Arabidopsis thaliana: one gene and its partners. The protein of the gene in region 1 interacts with the protein of each later gene in a pairwise test. Each region holds a gene or a part of one and is shown on either strand. Other genes may lie near its edges.

Region 1 (5,808 bases):
TTATTTGGTTCTCTTTGGATAAACTTGGATTGGCTTCACCATTGCCACTCTCCTTGGTGTCGCCTGTCCTTTAGCCGAAATCTTCATAATGCAGTAAGTAAACTGCGCGCTTCAACAACCATCTCTTTGTTTTTTATCAGAAGTCAGTCTAAAGATTGTCATAACCTGGCTTAACAGATTCTTCCATCTGTGGTACTATATATCCAGAAGCAAACATAGAGATCTTTGGCCAGGTAATAAGTGTTTATACAGACATATTCAAACAAAAACATACACATGAATACTCTGTTTCTTTTTGTTTTGTTTTCTGGTGAAGGGATTGGTTACGTGGACGACAACGTGCTACTTCGTCTACACACAGAACTTGCTACAATGGCGTCTTCAAAGCATTGTAGTTTCTGAATACCAGATGATCTGAAAGAAACAGTCATGTGTATGCTTTGAAGACGCCATTGCCCAAGACTTCTTGCAACAAGGGTTTACTTTATTACTAATGATCTGAAACAGAATGCACATTGACATTATGCTTAGGGAATCTTCTTGAATGTCTATCATGGTTATAGTTTGCTCTTCAAAAAATGTCAATCTTAGTACTGGTGGGAATGATGATGACACAACATTCTTGAGTTAAGAAGTTCTCTTTGATCAGTTGGGTGAATTTCTATGGCATCCCATCTGAAACATTAGCGTTCAATGGTACCTCCATAACCAGTAGCATGGCAGAATGTTCTATACAACGGCGTAAGTAAGATCCTTCATTCCAAAGACAAGGCATAACACGTTTGAAACAGCTGATCATATCAAATTAAAATTCCAAGATTCTTAGATAACTAATACATGCCATAAGTACCATTAAATCAACTTCTTAGAATGGAAATGAATTTGTAAAAGAAATGGTACAAGAAATCTAAAAGAAAAGCCTACTCGCTAAACATCCGAGGGTCCAAGTATCTTCAAGATGATAGGAAAAATGCAACGCAACTCACACCAGATGCAAAATGGACGAGATAAACTATTATTGAGCACCACCTCATATGATATATGTTACAACACACACATTGTATATGGAGTTTGGTGCCAGAAAATTCTTAGATATTTAATACATTAAGGAAATCAACTTATAAAGGAAATGAACTCGTAAGAAAGAAAAAAAATAACATTACAAGAAAAACCTCGACTCGCTAAACATCTTGCTTCATTTTGGGCTTTAACGGTCTGTATATCTACACTCTGCACATTCAAGAGAGCAGGAGTATTCATTCGTGGCTCCAAGTGTCTTCAAGATGATAGGAAAAATACAATGCATCTTACACCAGCTGCAAAATGGACGAGATATACTATTATTGAGCACCACCTCATATGAAGTGCCCTCAATTTTTATTGTGCTTCTTCGCATGAGACTTGAAAGGTCTCCAAGCACACACTTTGTATGCAAACTAGCCTGATGATCTTTACACGTATAGAACCATGTATGTGGATTTGTTTCTTTTTCACAAATGTCACACCAATATTTACCACTTGCCTTTTCGCCATAGCATAGTGAGAGAGGATGATCATGAACTCTATGCTTTACCATTTGTGGTAAAGTGGCGCATCCAAAGCATAATAAAAATCCACAATTATCTTCAATGCAACTAAGCACAAAGTCCTGCTCCATGTTGCAACCAGTGCACCATTGTACTTCGTCTGATGGAAAGTAATATAAGGGATGATTAGGATGACTTGGATGGATATGTGGCTCAGAAATTGAAATGCACCGAACATCGAATGCCTTATTCCCATGCTGGTACTTGAAACCATTGGACAATCTATCACAAGCATAACACCTAAAGCCTTCATCCTTGTTTGTAACCAACGTAAGACGTTCATTGTGTAGCACATGCCATTTCATTCTAAGAAATCCAGCGCAGTTTTGGTGGAGAATGAAGTTACAATCCATACAGCCGTAGAAAGACTGGAGACAGATGGGATGGGTGCATGCCTTGCACCGCTTGTTGTCATCACATAGAACACCATTAACGTTGAGTCTTAGGTAATGCTCTTTGTGACTAAAATGTTGTATTGTGTTTTCATCTATCACCACATATGGCTCTATATCTTCTGTTTCTTCGGGTAATCCTTCAAGTTCTTTCCCATTCCACACATCTTTTCTAGTAGCACATTTTGAATGAACAACATAGCCATGACACCTCTGACAAGAAAAACCTCCATAAGACCAGTCCACCTTTTTGCGACAAACTCCACATACAGAATTCACAACACCAAGAACAGAAGTTCGAGAAACACGGTGATCATGCCGGTTAATGTTGATGAGGCGTGGAAGGCCAAGACAGTCTTGATGGATCATGAAACCACATTGAAAACATACGTAAGGGCTACGATCTCCCTTCAGCCCGCAAGCATTGCATGTAAAAGAATCGAGTTTTGGGAGAAGGGTGAGTTGGTGATCATGAGCTTTCAAATTCAGAAGAGATTGTTGTGGTGGGCGCAAAACACAAACCTTGTCCAAGGTAAAGTTACACGGAGAACAATGGAAAAAAAATGTTTCATCAATCTTTCTTGCGCAAAGACGACATTTCCCATCAGAATAATCCGGTAACTGACCCTTTGCGTAGAGTTTAAGAGGGTGTAAAGAGTGGTAAGAATGGTTTACCTCTAAACGGAGTTCTAGTTCGGGCGGATACCATACGCAATCCACATGAAAGGATAAATCACATTCATGACAATTGTAAGGAAACTCATTACCAATAATCTTGCAACATTTAGCACATATACATTGCTTGATCCACTTCTTGAGAAGGGTAAGCCTGTGGTGATGCGTCTTGGAAATGTCAATAACCTCTGGTGGTGGATACTTTGAGCAGTATAAATCCATGTCGAAGTCACATAGATCACAACGATAGAATATTGGGCACATCCTTCCACACAAATTGCAGAAATTAGTAGGTCTTTCAGGTCTTAGCAGCTGAAGAGTGTGCTTGGGGTGAGATGGATGCTTGATATATTCGGAGGGCTCGTCAGCACAATTTTTTCGGACGAAAAAATCGCAGGTTTTGCAGTAGTATCCATCACTGATAGCTTCAAAGCGTCCACAGCAACCACAGCAAGGACCTCTTTTCAGATTTTTCCAAGGCATCATAAGATGCTCGTGGATCAACGGCATTAACACTCCCTTAGAATCCATGGTCGTTTACTAAGAGATTTTGAAGAAGAAGAAGTTGGATATGAAATCTCAAAGCTAAGTTTCTTTCACGTTTCTCTCTCTCTCTCAAAAGTCTTCTCTCTTTAATTTCAACGATGCTCTTATGAAAAAGAAGATTGGATCTGAAATCTCAAAGCTAAGCTCCTTTCTCTCTCAAAAGTCTTCTCTGCGTTAATCTCAAATCCTCAACGATGCCCTTACAAAATTATTTTTTTATTAGACTTTTGGTTTTATTGGTCTTTCATTAACAATAAAAAATAATTAGGCCCAAAACCCGCACCGTGCCGGTTTTTTCATGCATTTTGTTAGTTATAATAATTAATAATTTACATCAACTGAATTAATTTTATAAACAATCGTTTTGGTGTTTTTTTCTATGATTATCATTTTGATGTATCTTCTAACTCTCAAGTAAATGATTCATTCTATTTATTATGTTTATTTATTTATTTTTAGTTACAATGTTTAATATTTATTTACAATTACTTAACTTAGATATACAAAAAAATAAATTATTATCTTTAAAGTATTTTAAGGGTTTTGTGCAAAAACCACTATACCTCATCCATTTTTGCAACTTCAACCTCTACCTCCATCAAATACAGATTAATCATTAACAATATAAAATAATATGCATTATAACCCTCTTTTGCCTTTTTTTTTGTTACCAACAATTTTGTAAAATATCGATAATAATATGTTAAATTAAAACTTTCGCGAAGAAGAATTTAACTTTACCTTCAAAATTTTAAAAATCTAATGTATATAACCGTAAAAACGTTTACAATATATATATATATATAAAGATCATATTTTGTATTATTTTAGACTTCATAAAAATAATCTGCATTTATTGGAGGTAGAAAATAAAGTTGCAAAATGGATGAGTTAGCACAAAACCTTATTTAAAAGTAAACGGAAAAATAGTTTTACAATATCAATCATTAGTATTATTTTATTAAAATGAACCACTAGTTTAAAATAGTCAATTTTTAATTCTTTAGTCGTATCAATTAGCACTATTTATATAAAAAATGAAAATGAAAGAAATCTAAAAACATTGGATTCGGATCCATTTTTAAACTCTGAACTATTTTTTTATGAGCTGGATATCTCAATTATTTTTTAATTCACTAGATCTTGGAATTAATATTCATATTAACGTTTGAAACAGCTAGATCGTCAAAGTCAAAATTGCAACATTCATAGATAAATAATACATGAAGGAAATCAACTTATTATAATGGAAATGAACATGTAAAAGAAATGGTACAAGAAATCTAAAAGAAAAGCCCACTCTCTGGACATCTTGATTCATATGCATTACATAGCGCAATAACCAGTAGTTGGCATTATGTTCAATACAACGGCGTAAGTAAAGATCCTTCATTCCAAAGACAAGGCATAATTGTTTGAAACAGCTGATCATATCAAATTAAAATTGCAAGTTTCTTAGATCTAATTTCTTTTTTTTTTCTTTTCAAAAGAAAGACACAAATCTTGGCTTGCCTTAAAACGTGTGTACATGTTGATAAAACATTTTCATTTCGGTCTCTAGATTCTGCGAATAATAATGAATGGAGTCTGTGTTTGGTTTCATGTTGAATCAATCAAGATGTGTTTTTAACTGTAAATGAATTATGCAGAAAACATCTGTCCTGGTTCTCAGACATCGGAACTCTGTTCCTAATAAAAACTGAAGTCCCTGTTTTTATGTTAGTAATCTGAAACAACAATTGTTTGAAGACGCCATTGCCAAGATTTCTTGCAACAATGGTTTACTTTCTTACTATTTCTAATGATCCTGAAACAGACTATACAATACGTTGAGAAAGAAGCGAAAAGCTGACAATCATGATAATGCAAGACTGATAGTATTGTGTTGTTCATTTTCAAGGTGAAATTTTGTAGAAAACGAATGTCAGAAAGCATTTGAAACAGCAAGATCGTATCAAACTAAAATTGCAAGATTCTTAGATAAATAATACATTAAGGAAATCAACTTATAATGGAAATGAACTTGTGAAAGAAATGGTTACAGGAAATCTTTAAGGAAACCCCACTCGCTAGACATCTTAATTCACACTCATTGCATTAGCGCAATAAGGAGAGCAACAGTATTTTTGTGAGGCTCCAAGTCTCTTCAAGATGATAGGAAAAATGCAACGCAACTCACAACAGCTGCAAAATGGACGAGATACACTATTATTGAGCACAACCTTATATGATCTGCTCCAACGCCTTAATGTGCTTTTTGGCATGAGCCCTAAAAATTTTCCGAGCACACACATTGTATGTAAACTAGCTCGGTGGTCTTTACACGTGTAGTAACTAAAGTAAGACGCTCATTGTGTAGCACATGCCATTTCATTCTAAGAAATCCAGCGCAATTTTTGTGGAGAATAAAGTCACAATCCATACAACCATAGAAGGACTGGAGACAGATGGGATGGGTGCATGGCCTACACCGCTTGTTGTCGTCACAAAGAAGACCATTATCGTGGAGCCTTAGGTAATGCTCTTTGTGGCTGAAATGCTGTATTGTATTGTCATCTATTACCACATATGGCTCTATATCTTCTATTTCTTCAGGTACTCCTTCGAGT
Region 2 (5,837 bases), on another chromosome or scaffold:
AAACAAAACACTAATTGAATCTAAACCATTGCCAAGTCTCAAACTTTAAACGAGAAATCAGGAAATTTGGAGGAATCGAAAAAAATGGGATCTTTCTAATTTTTACCTCTGCCGCCGGGGACTTGAGGGAAGGAGGAGACTGGGATTCCGGCGAAAGCAGAGTTTAGGGTTTCTTGAAGAGATTTGGGTAGATTCTTCCTTGATTGTACTTTCTCGAAATACGCTTCACAGCTTGAAACCGCCGATTTTATCTCCTTATCTTCTACCGCTTCACTTCCCGCCATGTCTTGATACCGGCTCAATTTGAAGAATTTCAAACAAATCTACGATGATTTTAGATTGGAAACGATGAAACCCAGAAGAAAAAAAGAGAGCTTTTTTGGTTAAGGAAAAAAAAAAGAGAGAATTTAGAACAGTGGTGAGTGTGGTCGGATAAGCAACGTGTCGGAGATGGACCTTTGGTTTCGCTTTTCTGGCGGTTACGCGCGTCCTGATGAAGTGCATTGACACGTGACGTTATAATAAGTGGTCGTGTGTCAAAAGAGTTTAACAGCGTTATAACCGGAGTCGCTGACGTGGATGGGCCGAATTCTAAGATAGAAAACGGTAGTAACGGGCCTGAGCCCAAGATTGATTTAAAAGTAATATCTGATGGATCATAGTTTCATACGTTTTCTTTCTTTTGGTCATTTTGTTTTCTTTCCTTTTTAAGAATCGACCATCTAAACATTTAGGTGGCTCAAACAATTCAGACATCTTCATTTCGGTCAAATTCATCACAAATTTATATTTGATAATTGAGGGAAGTAAAATAATCAATTCTTTTATGTAAATAATTTTAATGGTGACTACAATTTTGACCATCAAATTAGTAAATGTCTGTAGCAAAAAATAATAATAATCAAATTAGTAAACAATACGTATGTGATTTCAAATAATAATACGTTGTGTTGATAATTTGTCAAATAACCCACTATTTTATGTGATGCTAACTAAAGTTTATTTTGTAAAAATCAAACAATTTTGCAAAAGTGAAAGAGGGAGATTTTGTCAATCTGCATGAAAACCACCTTCCATTTTAGATATCATTGTGTCATCATAGTCATACTTACTTAATTCACCAACAAAAAAAATTAACATTGTATTTAAAATTTTTATAAGCATAAAAAAATATTTGGTGTATCAAATTTGTGTAGACCATTAATTTACAAAACCTTCATATACATATATAATCCATGATATGATAGGTAATCCACTAATTTAAACATTTGGATATCTACAAGTATATAAGCATTTTGCATATCATGCCAAAACCAGATCTCTCTTTCAGAGGCTGAAAAACAAATGAATGACAAAGAAAACGGAAATCAGTTACTTTCTAGACTTGTGTCTAGCTATACCGATACAGTTACTGGCTTATTGCTGTCCGGAAAGTCTCGTTCGATAACGGGCCAATAATGAATCTGTACTCAACGGAGCTTGTGTTCGCAAGCCACTAAAGTTCAAGGTGTGGTCATGCGATGATGGAGGTGGAGGATCTGGAGAGGAAAAGTTGAGACTGAAAGAGGAGGACGATAGAGGGTAGTCGTCTGGTAACTGATTGGGATAGTTTGGTCGTGTGAGGTCCAATGTTACAGTCGGGTGCGAGTTAGTGGTGGAGATAGAGAAGTGGTGAAAAGGGAAGAAATAGCTTAGACTCGCTGAGGTGGAGGAGGAGGAAGAGGAGGAGCCAGATTGTAATAAGGAGGCAGCCGCGGAAGTTCCAGCTGCCATGTGGCTTGCTTCCATGGGGAGAGGATGGTCATGGTTTCCTTCGTACGTTGTCATAAAAGCGGAGGTTTCTTCTTCTCCACATCTTTGCACCTATAGACATTCGTTTTAAAAGTTTTTACTCAAAACCAATTGTTAATAAACAGATATTTGGATTGAGAAATTATAGAATGTATTATACCTGTTTTCTAACGGGACAATTTGACGACATGGAGCAACGGTAATAGGCTCGTGGGAGAGGATTGGTTTTCGCAGTCTTTTGACCATATTTCCTCCACTGGCAACCGTCGTTTATCTATATATATTCATGTAACGTGTATATGATCAAATAATTAAATTAGATGTGAAATGGTAAATAAACACATATATGTAATGTATGGTTTTGATGGTACGTACTGATGGGTCTTCACATGATGCTTTAACACAAACCCTAGTTTTCTTCAAACCTGTTTGTTCATGCTCCTCCAAAACATCTTGATGGTTTTCATTTCTAACTGATTTGACATCTTTCCTCGAAGATACACATTTATTTTCAGCGTTTGCAAGCTTAACCTGCCTACAAAGATCATCTAGTTTCGAGGCTTCATAGCTTTGAATCTGAAATCCAAAACCCAGTGCAGATCTTTTATCTTTTGACTCCTCTACGTTCTTAGTAGAAATCTTGTCCACCTTATTTTCCTCCTTTTTAGAGATCTTTTGCTCTGATCTTCCAAGCCTAAGTGATATATCCACATCATAGTCGTTATTTTCATCTTGACGATCAATGTGGTCTAGCTCCATAGACGAAGCTCCTTGTTGTTGTCCGAGAACTTTAGAGACTTGCATTTGAAGAGAGTTGTAATTATTAAGAATCGTAGAGAGTAAGAGCTTTAATTTCTCATTTTCTTCCCGAACTTTCTCCACCTTTGCTTTTGTTGCATCAAGCTCCTCTTCCTGTAATATCCAAGACACATTTATATTCACTTTTTATCTAAAAACTGTTTGGACCTATCTTCTAAACTTCTACGATAAATAGTTCTCAATACACACAAAGTAAATAGTATTATAAAAGTGAACATGATCGAATGCCAATAAAGAAAAAAAGAAAAAAAATGGATCGATCCGACCTATATTAATTAGAGCGGATCTTAATTATAAATGTTTTCATCCGAAGTTTTCTAAATACCGGAAAATCTTGGTATCCTTGAGCATTAAATAACCGTCCCAAAAAAAATAATGAACTTTCGATACTCGAGACCATTTCCGAACAAGCAAGTTGACTTTTATCAGATGCAGTAAAACTGTATTAATTTCAGACATAAGAATTATATGGTAACTATATGTAAATATATAACAGAATCATATGATCATGAGATTAATTCTAACCGATTGAAACACCAGAAGGAGATTGAAAATAAAACAAGAATTAGAGAAATTTGTGGTTTAAACGGTTAAATCGAGAAATAGTGTTTTGTTTTACCTTGTCAGATTCTGCCATAACACCATCGAAAGTTTGGAAGTATGAAACGGTCTCCTCTTTGATCATGCTATTATATGATTCAGATGCGATCTTGAGATCAACTGGATCTGCTCTTTTTGTTTTTCTTCTTTACATCAAAAAAAAAATTATTGTCGTTTTCTTTTGCCTAACTAGGTTTTTATAGGAAGGGACCCAAAGCCAACAGACTTTGACTTCGCATTTTAATAAGAAGATATACAGACTAAAAATATTGTTTATAATGGTAATCACCACCACCATGTTACCAGCTTCGTCTCTATTCTTGAATAATCTCAACCAGACGACTCAGCATTATATAATAAGATAATGCCAATCATATAAATAATATCAAATTGTATTGCAATCCAGATGGATCTGGTCTGAACACTACTTCGGAATATTTCGTTTTTTTTTTGTTAATTGGCATCATAATTAAAGCATAGTAGTTGACATTGAGGCAACTAAAACAAGTTTTTTCTTTCTTTCTTTCGTCTGTACCGGAGTACCGGAGTACCAGATCATACTAGTTCTTCGCTAACATAAAGCTGTATGCATGGGAAACAAAAGCTGAGAGAGAAAAAAAACAATATTTTCTCTCTTTTTTCTTAGACCTAATATATGTCAAAAATTAATCCACAATCATTCTTTATAGGCAGTTCAGGGGTGAATGTATTTTTTGTGATATATTTGTATGTTTACTAGCTAGTTTTTAGATAAATTTTCTTTAACATTTAACGATATCTATTAAATATAAGAAATTTATATGTATCTTTAATCCTATAAAAATACACATATACTGTATACGCATAAATTTATGATCGGAACAAATATTCTAATTTTTTTTATTTATGTGCTATATTTTGATCTTTTTCAAATTGAATAAAGCAATCTATTTATCCAGCGTTAATCACTAACGGACACCGCATGAAATGAGTGCATTTTGTAAAAGAAACTTTCAGCTGTAAAACGCATTTTGTTCTCTGATCCAATGAAAAAATGACACATCATCGATCTGCAGCTACTTAATTACGTTGACCAGTTGGCAGAGTTGATTAAGTTTATGTTAGTCTTAAATTGCTAATTAATAGACACTGCATGAATTTTATAATGTTATAAAATTATAAGAATTTCATAATGAAAAGTTTATGAAATGTTAATTTATGACTAATGCAAGAACTTTCTATTTGGAAACGTAAGTTAAGGGGTTTATTAAAGAATAGTACAATATTAGAAAGGCTGCTTTATTGAATGATAATACAAACAACGAATGGTCATTTTATATTAGTTGAATACTTTATCGAATAACTTTTCTTTTTGGTGAAGATCAAACAGAGCTTTTTTCATCTTCACACGCATCAATGAGATCATAAGAAACCGAGCAGTACTTTTTTCAATCATAGAATACAATTATAACAAGCTATATCATGCAACTCAAAGTTTCTCCAGACTGGTCTCTTGTTCGACTCCTAAAATTCATCTTCCACAATCCGAGTGGGTTTACACCGTCGGCTTCAAGATTTTAACTAGGATGGACTTCCTTAGAAACTACATTTGCTTCTTTTAGTGTGTTAACCAGAAAAAAAAAAGATTTTCAACTAAAACTGAGACAATTAGGATTCCGAATACAATTTACATTGTTTGGGGATATTTCTTATAGCTCCACACAAACTTTTATTTTGAACTTATACTCCATCATCGTTAGACGATTTCGTCAAATCTCGTCTTAAACCTGAATCATTTGTCTATGGAAGTAATTTTATTTATTGTTTTAATATATTCGTAACGAGCAGCTAAATCACTAATACAGACATATATAAGGATTTTATAATTAAAGATTCTTCTGAAATTATCCTATTTCAAATAAAGTATACTTTTTAGATTAAACATTTAAATTTATATCCGAAATGTCATTGTAAATTAATAATATTCGATTTCGTGGCCTTGAAGTCGACCAATAATAAGGAGAGAAAGGAGCGCAGGATCCGGTTTTATTTCTACCATATATACGATGTCATTCCAATCTAGTGGTATTATAATAATCTAGATAGTTGAAATATTTATAATTTTAAAAATGCAAAAAATAATTTTTTATTACACAATAATGATATTATAGTCAATGATCTCTTACATCGTGCTCCAGAATCCATCGCATAATTTAAACTGTATCGTAATGGCTAAGTCAAATTTTGGTTATTTAATGTTGCATATTACTTTTATTTTTATTTTTGTGACATTGTTGCATATTACTATCATCTCGCAAGTCACACTTTACCAAAAAATTTAATCTCACAAGTCACAAGTGTTCTTTCAAAAACGGATCCGATCGGCTTATAATATTGGTCGAAACACGAACGGACCAACCCGGACGGGTTGAATCTTAAATTATCAAAAATGATGCGGAAAAGCACAATTTTTTTTTATTTCAAGGCTCTTTAGTTCTCATTTGTCGTCACAAGAATTCAAAGAAAAAAATTACATCTTGTTTAAAAGGTGTTTTATTGAATGTGTGTACATCCGAAAGTCGCTCATTGGCAAGGTTGGTGCAGCTTGATGAATGATTCGGACTTTGACCAAGAAAGAGTTGGCTCCA
Region 3 (5,446 bases), on another chromosome or scaffold:
TAATAAAATAAAAACAAGTGATAAAAATTTATATTATGTGTAAACCATATTGAACCTAGAACACCTCTTAGGGGTTTGGATGATGTATCCAATTAGTTTACACAAAACCTAGAAATGTAACACTTAATAAAAAGAAAACCTTTAAAGTTTTAATAGTAATATAAAAATATAATTCTAAAAATATTTTTTAATAAAAGAAAAACAAGTGTCAAAAATCAAAAATAAGTGTAAACCATATTGAACCTAGAACACCTCTTACGGGTTTGGATGATGTATCCAATTAGTTTACACAAAATCTGAAAATTTAACACTTCATAAAAAGAAAACCCTTAAAGTTTAAATAGTAATATAAAAATATGTTTACAAACATTGTTTAATAAAAGAAAAAGAAGTTTTAAAAATTTATATTATGTGTAAAGTATATTGAATATAAAAATAGTTTAATAATAATATAACTTAATTAAAAAAGTAATAATATAAGTTTGAAATTCTTTTTAATAAAAGAAACAAAAAATAGAAAAGGAAATTAAGAAAGAAATACCTTTGCTTGTGATTGACGAAACACAAGATTTTCAGATGATGTCGCCGGACGGACGGAGGACATGGGAACAGAACCAAACACATATCATGATTTGGTTCTCTACTCGCTAGTCGCTTTCACTGTCCATGTCTTCTAGATATCCTCTTTTCCGCTTTCGCATCCTTCGTCGTCTTGTTCTCCTTCGCCGTCCTCGTCAGAATCCACCGCCGAGATCGTTGATCGAGTGAAATTATGGGAGACTTTGAGACATGAAATCGATCTGGATTGACTTAAGATGTATTCACAACAGAGGATGGAGATAATTCACGAAAAGATATGCTTTCTCTGCTCCGATCAATCTTACGGATGAAGTCAATCTTACGGTTTACTTCATAGTTCTAGAAGAGAACTAGAGAAAGAAAAAGATGAATTTTGTTATTTCTGGATTAGGGTTTCGAAGAACAAGAGAGAATGGGTGTATTTATAAGTAACGTTTGTTTGATGAAAAAAGGAAATTTCGATTGTTTCCTTTTCTTATTTGAGTTGCAAAAACTAAAAGGAAATCTATCACAACGGTAACAAAAGATTCACTTAACCGTCTTACTTTTTATAAAATCATAATTATATACAACACCAATAAATAAACAACTACTGTTTGATATTGCATATATCCATTATAAATTCCACCACCATAACTTCGTATGGATTAAGGCTTTTTTTTTCCTGCCAATTGGTTGTAATCCATATCTCTACAACTTCGAGAGGATGATTTTATTAAACGTAACTTCATTGTTATATATGCAAACATGATATTTGAATACTTTTCGAGTAAACACCATTCATTTTTTTTTCATTAATCTAAAAACGCATTATCGTAATGTATCACAAATCTGCCCTACATTACACAATAATGAAAATTATCAGTGTCTAAATACACCAAACAAAAATTACAAAAAATATATATTACTACACTTGACATTTAGCAAACATAGTTAGATACACAGTAAACAACAACAGACAAATTTTAATTGTGATGCAGCCGAAGAAACACATGTGGAAAACAAGGTGGCACTACCATTTCTCATTTCTGTCTTCAAATATCACCCCTTGTTGTTATTATCATAAATAAAAGTAAACACCTTTAAGCTTTAACGCAACAGTTGAAGCAGCTGAAGATTCTTCTCCTCCTCTGTTCCAAAGTCATTTACAAACAAGATTAAGTATGTTTTATCCAAAAAAAAGAACAACATTATTTATGTCACTTCACATGGTAGGTACAAAATAAAGGATTATGCTTTACTCAGATTGAAAGAAAGAATCCATTATAATAACTTTGTAGGGTAATGTACTACTATAAGTTTACTCTGTTTTAAAATATAGTTTTACATATTCTTTTCAATATTTTATCATCAATATAAAACATACTCTATGCATTCATGTGATTCCTTAACCATATGATCACAATCATATCCAATCAAGATCCAAATCCAACTTAAACTCAAAATCTGAAGTTGTGAAGTTTGGTGGGGTATATAAAATTAATTTCATGTGTAGTCATAAACAGCAATAAGCAACCAACTTGACCAAACATTGAAGGACCACATTTTACCCAATTGCTAGAAGAATCCATATAATGCTTACAATATTAGATTCTCAAACCTAACCAACCCAAGAAGGTCCACATCAAATGAACAATTCACAAACATTATCATCCTATTCATCAAGAAAATATGAATCTTACAATGGATATTCAAAGTGTTAACATGTAAATGCAATCAAAAACATAAGTTTCAAAAGTTTGGTATTGGTATGAGCATGAACAACGAACTAGGGTAAACAATGTGTGACCCAAACAAAATCTACCCATTTTGCCAGAAATAAACCATATAAGGCTAAAAAGTTGGATTTCATATCCTAACCAAGTCAAAACACCTACCTACCGGTTTCAATGAACGCAGGAGCTAATACAAATTCATATACAATGGACTGACATTCAAAACAATGAATCTTTAAGATAGAGCAACAAGAATCTTACAGAAGGAGAGTGTGGGTGATGGTGAGAGAACTCATTGCGGTTGTTGTTGTCACTGTGAACCGTAGTTAGCTTCTTAGGCTTGGCAGTATCAACAGGAGGCTGATCATGAAAAGGGTTAATGAGTTCTTCCTCGTTGCCAAGACTGGCTCGAGAAGCATCTCTCTTGTTGAGTTTCCTCATCTCTCTGATCTTTGAGAAATCCATTGAGTAATCAATTGATCCTCCTTTTTGATCCCAATCTCCAAACTGTGGTACTGATAGCCATGGCGAGTTCTTGTTCTGCCAAATAAATCTCCATTTCAATTACTTTTATTTTCAAGAACCATTAGAAAGAAAAAAACACAATCCTAAAAATCAATCACACAAAAAAAGACTTTTTCACCAAGATTCAGAGACTAATTTCTCACATCAAAATCGAATATTAATGCAAGAAGTTGACATGAACATCCCATTTTATTTAATGTATCACTTTAACTTTAATATTATGTAAGGAGAAAACACAGAAGACGAAGGGATTAGACCAGAAAATAAAAAATAAAAACCTCTTTTCGATCTTCCATGTGATCAAAGCTTCTGTAGCTAGCAGTGAATCCTGTTTTTTTTTTTTATAATAAGTTAAAGATGATCTTAGGAGGAAGATGGGTGATACAGAGCAATTTATAAGCGAAAGAAAAAGTATACCAAAATTTAATACAGCAAAGTAACAGGTCGATTGGTGGTGATACAACTATACTGTACACAACATATCAAAAATATTTTTGTTTTATTTTGTTTTTTTCTGCTTCGGGAAAAGGTTAGCTTTTGTGCATTAATTACGATACTGCCATTCGTTCGGACACGCACACACGCTTAATCCGCGTCAGCTTTGCTCTCATTTCCTGTTAAATGACGTCGTTTAGTATACTGTCGATTAATGGTCTAACCTTTAAGTTATGATATTAAAACATAAGTTTATTGGTGAAGATTTGAAGGCCGGCAACTGATTTTATTAAATTTATAGTGATATGTTTTTCCAATAGCTTAAGCAAAATTTGTTTGGAGTTGATTAGTTCATTTTCATTTATCTTTTTTGTTCCTAGAGCGGTTAGTGAACACTGAATGAATACACACACTGACTCCACTAAGAACCCAAAAAAAAAAACTCACATCATTTTGTGTATTTTGTTAGATAAAATCAAACCTAGCCGACGTTAGTGAATCTGTATCCACTTAAATATCATCTACAGCAACAAAAAAGTCCACAATAAGATATAAATAAGTACGACTTTGCTTCGTCAACTGTATGACTGCTATTAACAATCCCGAACTATTTAGTCATGGAGGCGATTAACATAAATTCATGTTTAATGATGCGAGCCGTTACATGATATATATACATGTTGATTCTTAATTTTCATTTCCAATTTCACTATTTCAGTCATATTTGAGAAAAAAGATGTGTGCTCGTACGTTTTAAGTTCCATGAACAGCCAATTTAAAATTAACGGGTGAATAAGTTGACGCATATTCATTTAAAATTGTAATTACGAATTCAACTTACTAAAACCATATACATAACGACCAAAAACTTAATAAAACTATAAATTTAAAAAGAAATCAAGTTGCGTGACGATGTGGCGTGAAGAGATCCACAGAGAAACTGACGTGGTTGATGATATAGTTAGACACGTGGCAGAGTATGAGAAGTGTCTGTTTTTCAAAGGAGCTATGTGAACCACAAAAGAGGTAACTTCACCGGATTTGTTATCTCTTCAAGACTTCTACCCTCTCTTCTCCTTCTTCCTCACCACAAAATTAGATTCTTTCGTTTGTTTTTTGTGTGTGTTATATTTGTCTTTATTTCATATCCATTTATTGACTTTGTAAGAACATTGCATTGCATGTGGCAGAGAACTCAAAGTTAGTAAAAATGAATACTCCGATTTGTATCACTTCTTTCCTTTGGCATTATATCAAAATATGGTCTTCAAAAACTAGAATTATACAATCGTAGAATGCATTTACTTGTCATTCATAGAAAGTTGCAATACAACTACCATTAGTACTTACAAACATTGCAACCAAATACATTTTTTATTGTAAAATAGTACTCCATACATATTTCATGCTCCATACATATTTCGATTTTTCACTATTTTCATTCCAATTTTTTGTGATAACTGAAGATAATTTTATTGGGTTTTTCTTTTTTGGTCGTCAATAATATTAATTTATTTTCTAAGTATTGATTTTATTTATTGATAATTGATAATGATATATTTTCGAATATAGAGAAAAAAATACAAACTAATAAAAAAATCAAATAAAATCTGGTGGCTCACGCTCAAAACGATAGAGAGAAACTCTTATCAAAGCTTTTGATTTCTCTCTCGAGGGTTTCTTACTCTGCTGCTTCTTCTTCTTCTTCAGTAGAGCGAGATTCTCTCGCGCTCTCTATCGCTACATATAACCATGGGTTTATCAACGAATCTCCATAGCCTCGACCTCCGTTCAACTTTCTTCACCGGTCTACGTACATCTCCAATCCCTTCCAATTTCATCAAAATCTCTTCCATTTCCAACCCTAGACGCGATATCTCCACCATCAGAGCCCAAGTCTCCACCATCAGCCTCGAGACCTCCGTTAAACAGCGTCAAGACGAAATCGAATCTCTTTTCTCGAAGCAACCCTCTCAGCAAGACTCCGATCGGAAACGAAACGGGAAGAGTTCCAAAAACGGAGCTTCTGGGATATCTTCAGGTGTGAAGCTAGAGAACATAAGGAAAAGCTACAAAGGCGTGACTGTGCTTAAAGATGTGACATGGGAAGTGAAGAGAGGTGAGAAAGTAGGGTTAGTTGGTGTGAACGGAGCTGGGAAGACGACTCAGCTCAGGATTATCACTGGTCAAGA
Region 4 (6,002 bases), on another chromosome or scaffold:
TGATCAATCTTAAATGATCCTCTTTTTTTTTATTATGGTTGCAAGCATATATAGTGACTCTGCGGCAACAAGATCTTAGCCAAACTCTTCAAAAGGTTTTATTCTGAAAGTTTTTGGTTTTCGTTATAAGACAAGTCATTATTGCTTTATTCTTATTAACCTTTGAATTCTTCTCTTAGATATCACAGAAATGGATTCCAAGCATCAAAGATGTGTATGTGACATTAACCATTTATCTCCAACCAAAAATTCAATACTTAACCGATAAGTCCATCGAGGTGTTACATACATGTAAGCAGGCTTTTGACCCCACATTTCACCCAACCATTCGACGTTTCCTACGACTATCTTGAGGTTAATATGTTTCCATCTTTATTCATTATGTCTGATTCTCTTTTGACATTGCACTATACATTGTGACCATTGTTACTTGTTTTTCTAGGTAAGCCGAGTTATGACAATATGGAAACCACACTTTGAGAAAATACAAGTTGCCTTAGAGGCATATACTGAAAACGTAAGACATGGCTTCGAAAAGTTGGTTAACTGGACAAAATCTTTGGGAGGACAAAAGTAATATCTATTTTCTTGTTTGGTTTTTACGGCTACCAGCAATTGCCGGGTGGTTTCTTTCCCATTTTTTTTTAGTAATTGGGATGGGAGACGCTCTCTTTAATCATTTTTCGTATTTTTTTTTTCTTATTTTGGATGGTGATGGTGTTACCAGATTCAAAATCAGAAGATTCATACCACCGATGTCTTCATCCAGTGTCATGTTGATTCGTTTGAATCGTACTATATTCATAAATATAAAGTTTGTTTTCGGTGGTCTCACTCACCAGCGCCATATATGATTCTCAACCGACGGATTTTCTCCTAACGGTTTGGCTAGAAGTCATTTGGATATTTGATCCGTGAATCAATAACCAAATATGAATTTGACCTCTGAGATAACTTCTCATTTCTAGTTTTCTAATTTCATCCCTACGCTAAATGCACCAATTGTCCCTTATTTCGTGAAGCACGCGACACATGCTTTGGCTAAGCCACATAACCTACACTTGGTAGCATTTGAGATATCAAACTTTGGTTTTCAAAAGTTCGACATCTTGTGATACTAATTGGTCGAAAAAAAATCACAACCAAAACGATTAAAAAAAAAAGTTGAAAATGAAGAGTTGACTTCTTTAATCCTCGAGTCTTGATAATAGAAGAGATAGAAAAATAGAAAACGATAAATTTAACAAAACTAAAACTTTCTCATTTAGGGAACATGAGCCTCTTTAGGAAACTTTTTCTTTACGTCTACTTTTAAATTCATTACAATTACATAACTATTTATTTATATAAATGAACTTCTTGCTAAATTCATATGGTAGGGAGGATATTATTACATGAATAATTTGAGTGATGTCTACCAAATCTCTGGTCCTAAAACCACTCTGTGATTTCAAGGTTAATAACATTGATTGAAGCAGAAAAACAAACCTTTTCGTTTGTCTTCACTTTTGGCCTTTGGAGTTTCCCCACATTCATCAAGCTTAGCCATCAAAGAGCTAGTTCCAGGAGAATCCGGTGGCAATAGCGTGTTCTTCGAAGCAAGAATCCGTTGTGGAATAGCGGATATCGGAGATCCAACTTTAGAGAGATAGTTAAGAAGTAACTCAATGATATGCGTGAAGTTGGGCCGAGCATTCGGATCCTCATTCCAACATGATGTTACAATGTCGCCCAACTCCTCCGGTAAGCTCTCCGCGCTTGGTCTCACATTCTGTATAAGAAACATGTCAAAACAAAGAGAATAAAGTTCAGCGAAAATCAAAAGCAAAACAAGACAGTGTTACACACTTTGAAGGCTGCTGCATATGCTGCTTGGAGATTTGACATTCCCTCAAAAGGCAATTTATTGTGTAAAAGCTCCCAAAGAACTATTGCAAAGCTATAGGCGTCGACTTTATGATTGTAGTGCTTCTTCTCTCCCAATCGAAGAGTTACCGTGCTGTACAACTGTAATATTCCACCAAGATTGTCTTTAAGTAGCAAAGAGAAGCACAAGAAATGAACAAATATGTCTATAAGTAAAGAAGAACCTCAGGTGCCATCCATCGGTATGTTCCTGTCTCAGCCGTCATCATCTCAGTCAGTGACTCTTCTCTTGCTAATCCAAAATCTGCTAGTTTTACTGTTTTATGGTCTGCAGTTAAAAGCAAGTTCTCTGCAAAACAGAACAATAGATCCTTTAACACCATCTTCAACACTTAAGATTAAATCTTAATCATAACCAGAATATTAAAAGAACTTGAAGCGTGTGTGGTGTCAGACAATAAAAAAGAAAGAAAAGATTCTTTGTGATTGAGATCTGAGCATGTGGTTTCCATGAAGCAAGGTGTTTTGCAAATACTTTAAGCAGATCATTAAATGATACATATCAGGTTTAAAGAGGTAGTTTTACCGGGTTTGAGATCACGGTGAATGATCCCATGGGAATGCAAGCATTCCATACCACGAGCAATATCAAGCGCAAAACCGATAGCCACACGAGTCTCCAAACATGCGGGTCTCAAGTTTAATAGATATTTACGCAATGTACCGCCTTGAAGAAGTTCTGTAACTATCACCATTACAGGCTCCTTGCAAGCACCAATGAACTGATCCAGAGACAAAACACAATCATGAACTCATGAAACCCTTTAAGCTAGTAACAACAAAAACAGCCATAGATCTCAAGAAACAAGAACCTTGACCAAATTCTTGTGTTGAACACGTGAGAGCATTTCTACTTCTCTAAGGAATCTTGAATCTCTTTTAGCAATCTCTTCTGGTGTTTCTCCTCTGTGAACTATCTTTATAGCAACTGTCTGATTCTTGTATCTGTCTCAGATCATAACGACCAAACACAGTAGAGATCCATTAAAAACTCCAACTTTACAATTTCAATAATTCAACTAGACAAATCAAGATAGATGAGTGTACCAAACAAGCATTTTATTCATACCCTTATAGAACAAATACTAGACTTCACTTACCCACAAATCAAAATCCAAACTTTCCCAATAATCTCATAAGCAAATCAAATCCAGAAAGTTAACAAAGAAGAAGAAAGGAGCTTACTTTCCCTCATAGACTTTAGCATGAGCTCCTTCACCAATCTTTGGACCAACAAAGAGAAGCTGAGGATCAATTTGCCATTTGGGTTCCATTCTAAATCCAGTCAAAGAATCCATTGCAAGATTACTTCAAACCTTGCAACCACATTTTTTCTCGATCTGAAATACCAAAAAGACTTGTCCTTTTTTTGTTTGATCACTTTCTTGATTTGTATCTATGAAGATTTGAGAGCTCACAAGACAAAGAAGAGAAGAGAAGAGATAAGTAAATAGCTAACATGCCCTTCGATGAGGCAAAAGCGAAGTATCTTCACATGTCCGTAAATTAAGCACAAGTCTTAGAGAGAGAAGAAGGCGACACCAGGCAAGCTCTCCCCCAACTAAAATTATATATGTATTTATAAAATAGAAAAAACACAATGGATAAGAGAAGATTCTTAACAAAACTAAGAGAGAAGAAGCAGAGCAAGAAATGAATCAGTGGAGAATGGATCTGTGAGTACAAACAACAACACTGGTTCACTTTGGTTTTTGGGTTTTGTAATAAGAAACTTGAGGGATTCACTTGTTCTGTTTTGGAACTAGCAGAGACTTCTTCTTGATGTGGAGAGGGAGATAGAGAGACAGAGAGAGTTATGAGTATGGAGTGGTAATGATAGGATAATAAAAAGATAAACCAGAAGAAGTTTATATGATTGATTGGTGAAACATATCACATGGTTCAAAATTTCTTGCTTTTGTTTCTCAAAACATTCTTCTGAGTTTTAGGTTTAATTTGAGTAATATTCAGAAGCAAATATTGGCTATAAATAGGGAATTTTTATGCTTAATTATTATTTATATGTGACATTTGGAACCAAATTTGATTGTGTAACATGAACCAAGTAGGTTGCTTTGTGGTCAAAAGCAAAGAGATTCATTAGTACTATACACACCTATAATGCTTCCATTGTTCTTCTTTAGTTCTGTAGCTTCTTCTTTGCATTTCATCATCAGAGAAGCTTTGCTACAACAACACATGAACACTAGTTGATTCACACTAGCTAGAGTTTAGCAGATCATTACCAAGATGAGGGATTTTCAAGTTTGGGCAACTCCCAAGAAATGTTTTTAACCATTTCCAATTAGGTACATAAATATCAGCATACATGTGGGACATGTAACCAAACCGAGGAAGCGGTTCTAATTTTGAGTATTGATAGATGATCTCGAACCAAAAAGAAAAGTAATGTAGGTCATAAACTTTCATGAATCATGATAGAGAACGTACATGTCTTATACTGGAATTGACATGACATATATAGCTTTAAAGTGTTTAGATATATGATCATTTCCCCGACATTTGAAATCCCGAGCAGAAAATTGTGGATGCTACTTCTCCTCGATGAAACCCTTGTTGCTTCATCAAAACTGTCCAAACCAAAGGCGAGATAAACATTTAACTTGGCAGTGGAACTCAAATTGTTTATTAAATAACTTCCAGCTTGGTCATCATCAATAAACAAATCGCGTAAAAGAGGAGCATCAGTCACAACTCCATATTTATCTTTATATGTACTTGTACAACCGTAGAATCGCATAGCTTTATTTTGAGTCTCTTGATCAGTGACAAAAAAATTCAGCCGGAATGACTTCCGGAAGATTCCAACATTCAACAATATTTAACTCTTCCAATACAGGATAGCAAGAGACAAGTCTTGCAAAGGTGGCCTCACTGGGAGACCAAATACGTTACAAATGCATAACAGCATAAGGTAAAGAAACGAACTCGGCATCATCCATGGTCACATCAACGAGATTTAAGGATACCCGAGTCTTGCAGCTAGAAAAACATGGGGATATTACAAATACCATCTGAAGGACAACAAACATGAAGATGTTGTACCTTACGTTTAATCGCAGAATCAATCCATGACGTGAGAAAAGAGGCATCATATCATCATCTACATTGTTCAGATTTGTATCTTCGTGAAGATGTAACTTAAGCGTGTTTATGATATAAATCATAAACAAAAACCATAAGATATCTCAAGTTAACAAATCCATTCTTAGATTTGTGTAAAAGAATATAAAACATATTTCTTATCGGGCTGACGTATTTGTTCTAAATATCTCACCAGTCTAGTGAAAGTGTCGCAACGTAGTACAACGTATTGTATGTTTAAATGAGTGACAAGAGGTAGCAAATTGTATGTGACGTCATCTAAATGGATATGAGATATTACAACAACCTTTTTAAAATTTATAATTGAGGATCTTTTGTAAGTATATTTTAGACATGTAATTGGTTTTACTTAAGGTTTTCTTCCTTATTTTATTTTAGAAAGCTAAACTAATTTTGTAGTATAGTAGAGAAGAAAACTGTAAACTTTCTGATCCCATTTATTTATAGTGAAATATGCAGTGGCAGGAAATTAAGATCATTTTTGGTTTTATTTCCTTAACCATTTTTAATATCAAAATTGCGATCAGAATCCCCGATTATGATATGAAATAACTCAATAAATATTTTTCGTATTAGAAAGATTAAAACATTTTTTTAACATCTAAAGATTAATTCTATAGAAAATTGTAACTATAGAAGTATTGAATAAACATTTAAAGCACACATACATTATGTATATATTAAAATTAAAATTCGAATAAATAAATACACAAAAGGGGAAAAATCATTCACAAAAATACATATATTTTTGTTATATACAAAAGTGATATGTAAATACTCTCTAACAACAAACAATCTTCATGAGACTAACCACGAGGATTTGCTTCTCTAATCAGAACCCTGAACAAGCTCATCGCCACGTCCGCCGTGATCGTCTTCCCCCTCCGCGCTAAAACACGGCGACGTGTACCCGAAAAGGCCAGTAAGACGAGGACCGTTATCCACGCAAC

The links.
Region 2: the proteins of AT4G01920 (region 1) and WRKY36 interact in a two-hybrid assay, tested with the Arabidopsis thaliana proteins (one large-scale study listed by BioGRID).
Region 3: the proteins of AT4G01920 (region 1) and AT5G64850 interact in a two-hybrid assay, tested with the Arabidopsis thaliana proteins (one large-scale study listed by BioGRID).
Region 4: the proteins of AT4G01920 (region 1) and AT5G50180 interact in a two-hybrid assay, tested with the Arabidopsis thaliana proteins (one large-scale study listed by BioGRID).

The regions. Positions count from the first base shown.
Region 1 is NC_003075.7:827,896-833,703, forward strand, and holds AT4G01920 (Cysteine/Histidine-rich C1 domain family protein), read right to left. Parts: upstream 3,394-5,808; 5' UTR 3,185-3,393; coding exon 1,208-3,184; 3' UTR 931-1,207; downstream 1-930. Other genes in the region: AT4G01915 (uncharacterized protein), read left to right, coding at 178-233, 317-402; AT4G01925 (Cysteine/Histidine-rich C1 domain family protein), read right to left, coding at 5,278-5,383, 5,671-5,808.
Region 2 is NC_003070.9:26,275,822-26,281,658, forward strand, and holds WRKY36 (WRKY DNA-binding protein 36), read right to left. Parts: upstream 3,435-5,837; 5' UTR 3,296-3,434; coding exon 3,230-3,295; intron 3,051-3,229; exon of another isoform or gene 2,704-3,050; coding exon 2,167-2,703; intron 2,066-2,166; coding exon 1,952-2,065; intron 1,864-1,951; coding exon 1,417-1,863; 3' UTR 1,127-1,416; downstream 1-1,126. Other genes in the region: AT1G69800 (Cystathionine beta-synthase (CBS) protein), read right to left, coding at 107-323, 457-504. UniProt on the Arabidopsis thaliana protein: Transcription factor. Interacts specifically with the W box (5'-(T)TGAC[CT]-3'), a frequently occurring elicitor-responsive cis-acting element.
Region 3 is NC_003076.8:25,919,254-25,924,699, reverse strand, and holds AT5G64850 (sorbin/SH3 domain protein), read right to left. Parts: upstream 3,299-5,446; 5' UTR 3,116-3,298; coding exon 3,098-3,115; intron 2,835-3,097; coding exon 2,556-2,834; intron 1,710-2,555; coding exon 1,662-1,709; 3' UTR 1,282-1,661; downstream 1-1,281. Other genes in the region: ABCF5 (general control non-repressible 5), read left to right, coding at 5,007-5,446.
Region 4 is NC_003076.8:20,428,338-20,434,339, reverse strand, and holds AT5G50180 (Protein kinase superfamily protein), read right to left. Parts: upstream 3,888-6,002; 5' UTR 3,225-3,887; coding exon 3,112-3,224; intron 2,872-3,111; coding exon 2,739-2,871; intron 2,649-2,738; coding exon 2,453-2,648; intron 2,216-2,452; coding exon 2,091-2,215; intron 2,008-2,090; coding exon 1,849-2,007; intron 1,772-1,848; coding exon 1,457-1,771; 3' UTR 1,194-1,456; downstream 1-1,193. Other genes in the region: AT5G50175 (uncharacterized protein), read right to left, coding at 5,859-6,002.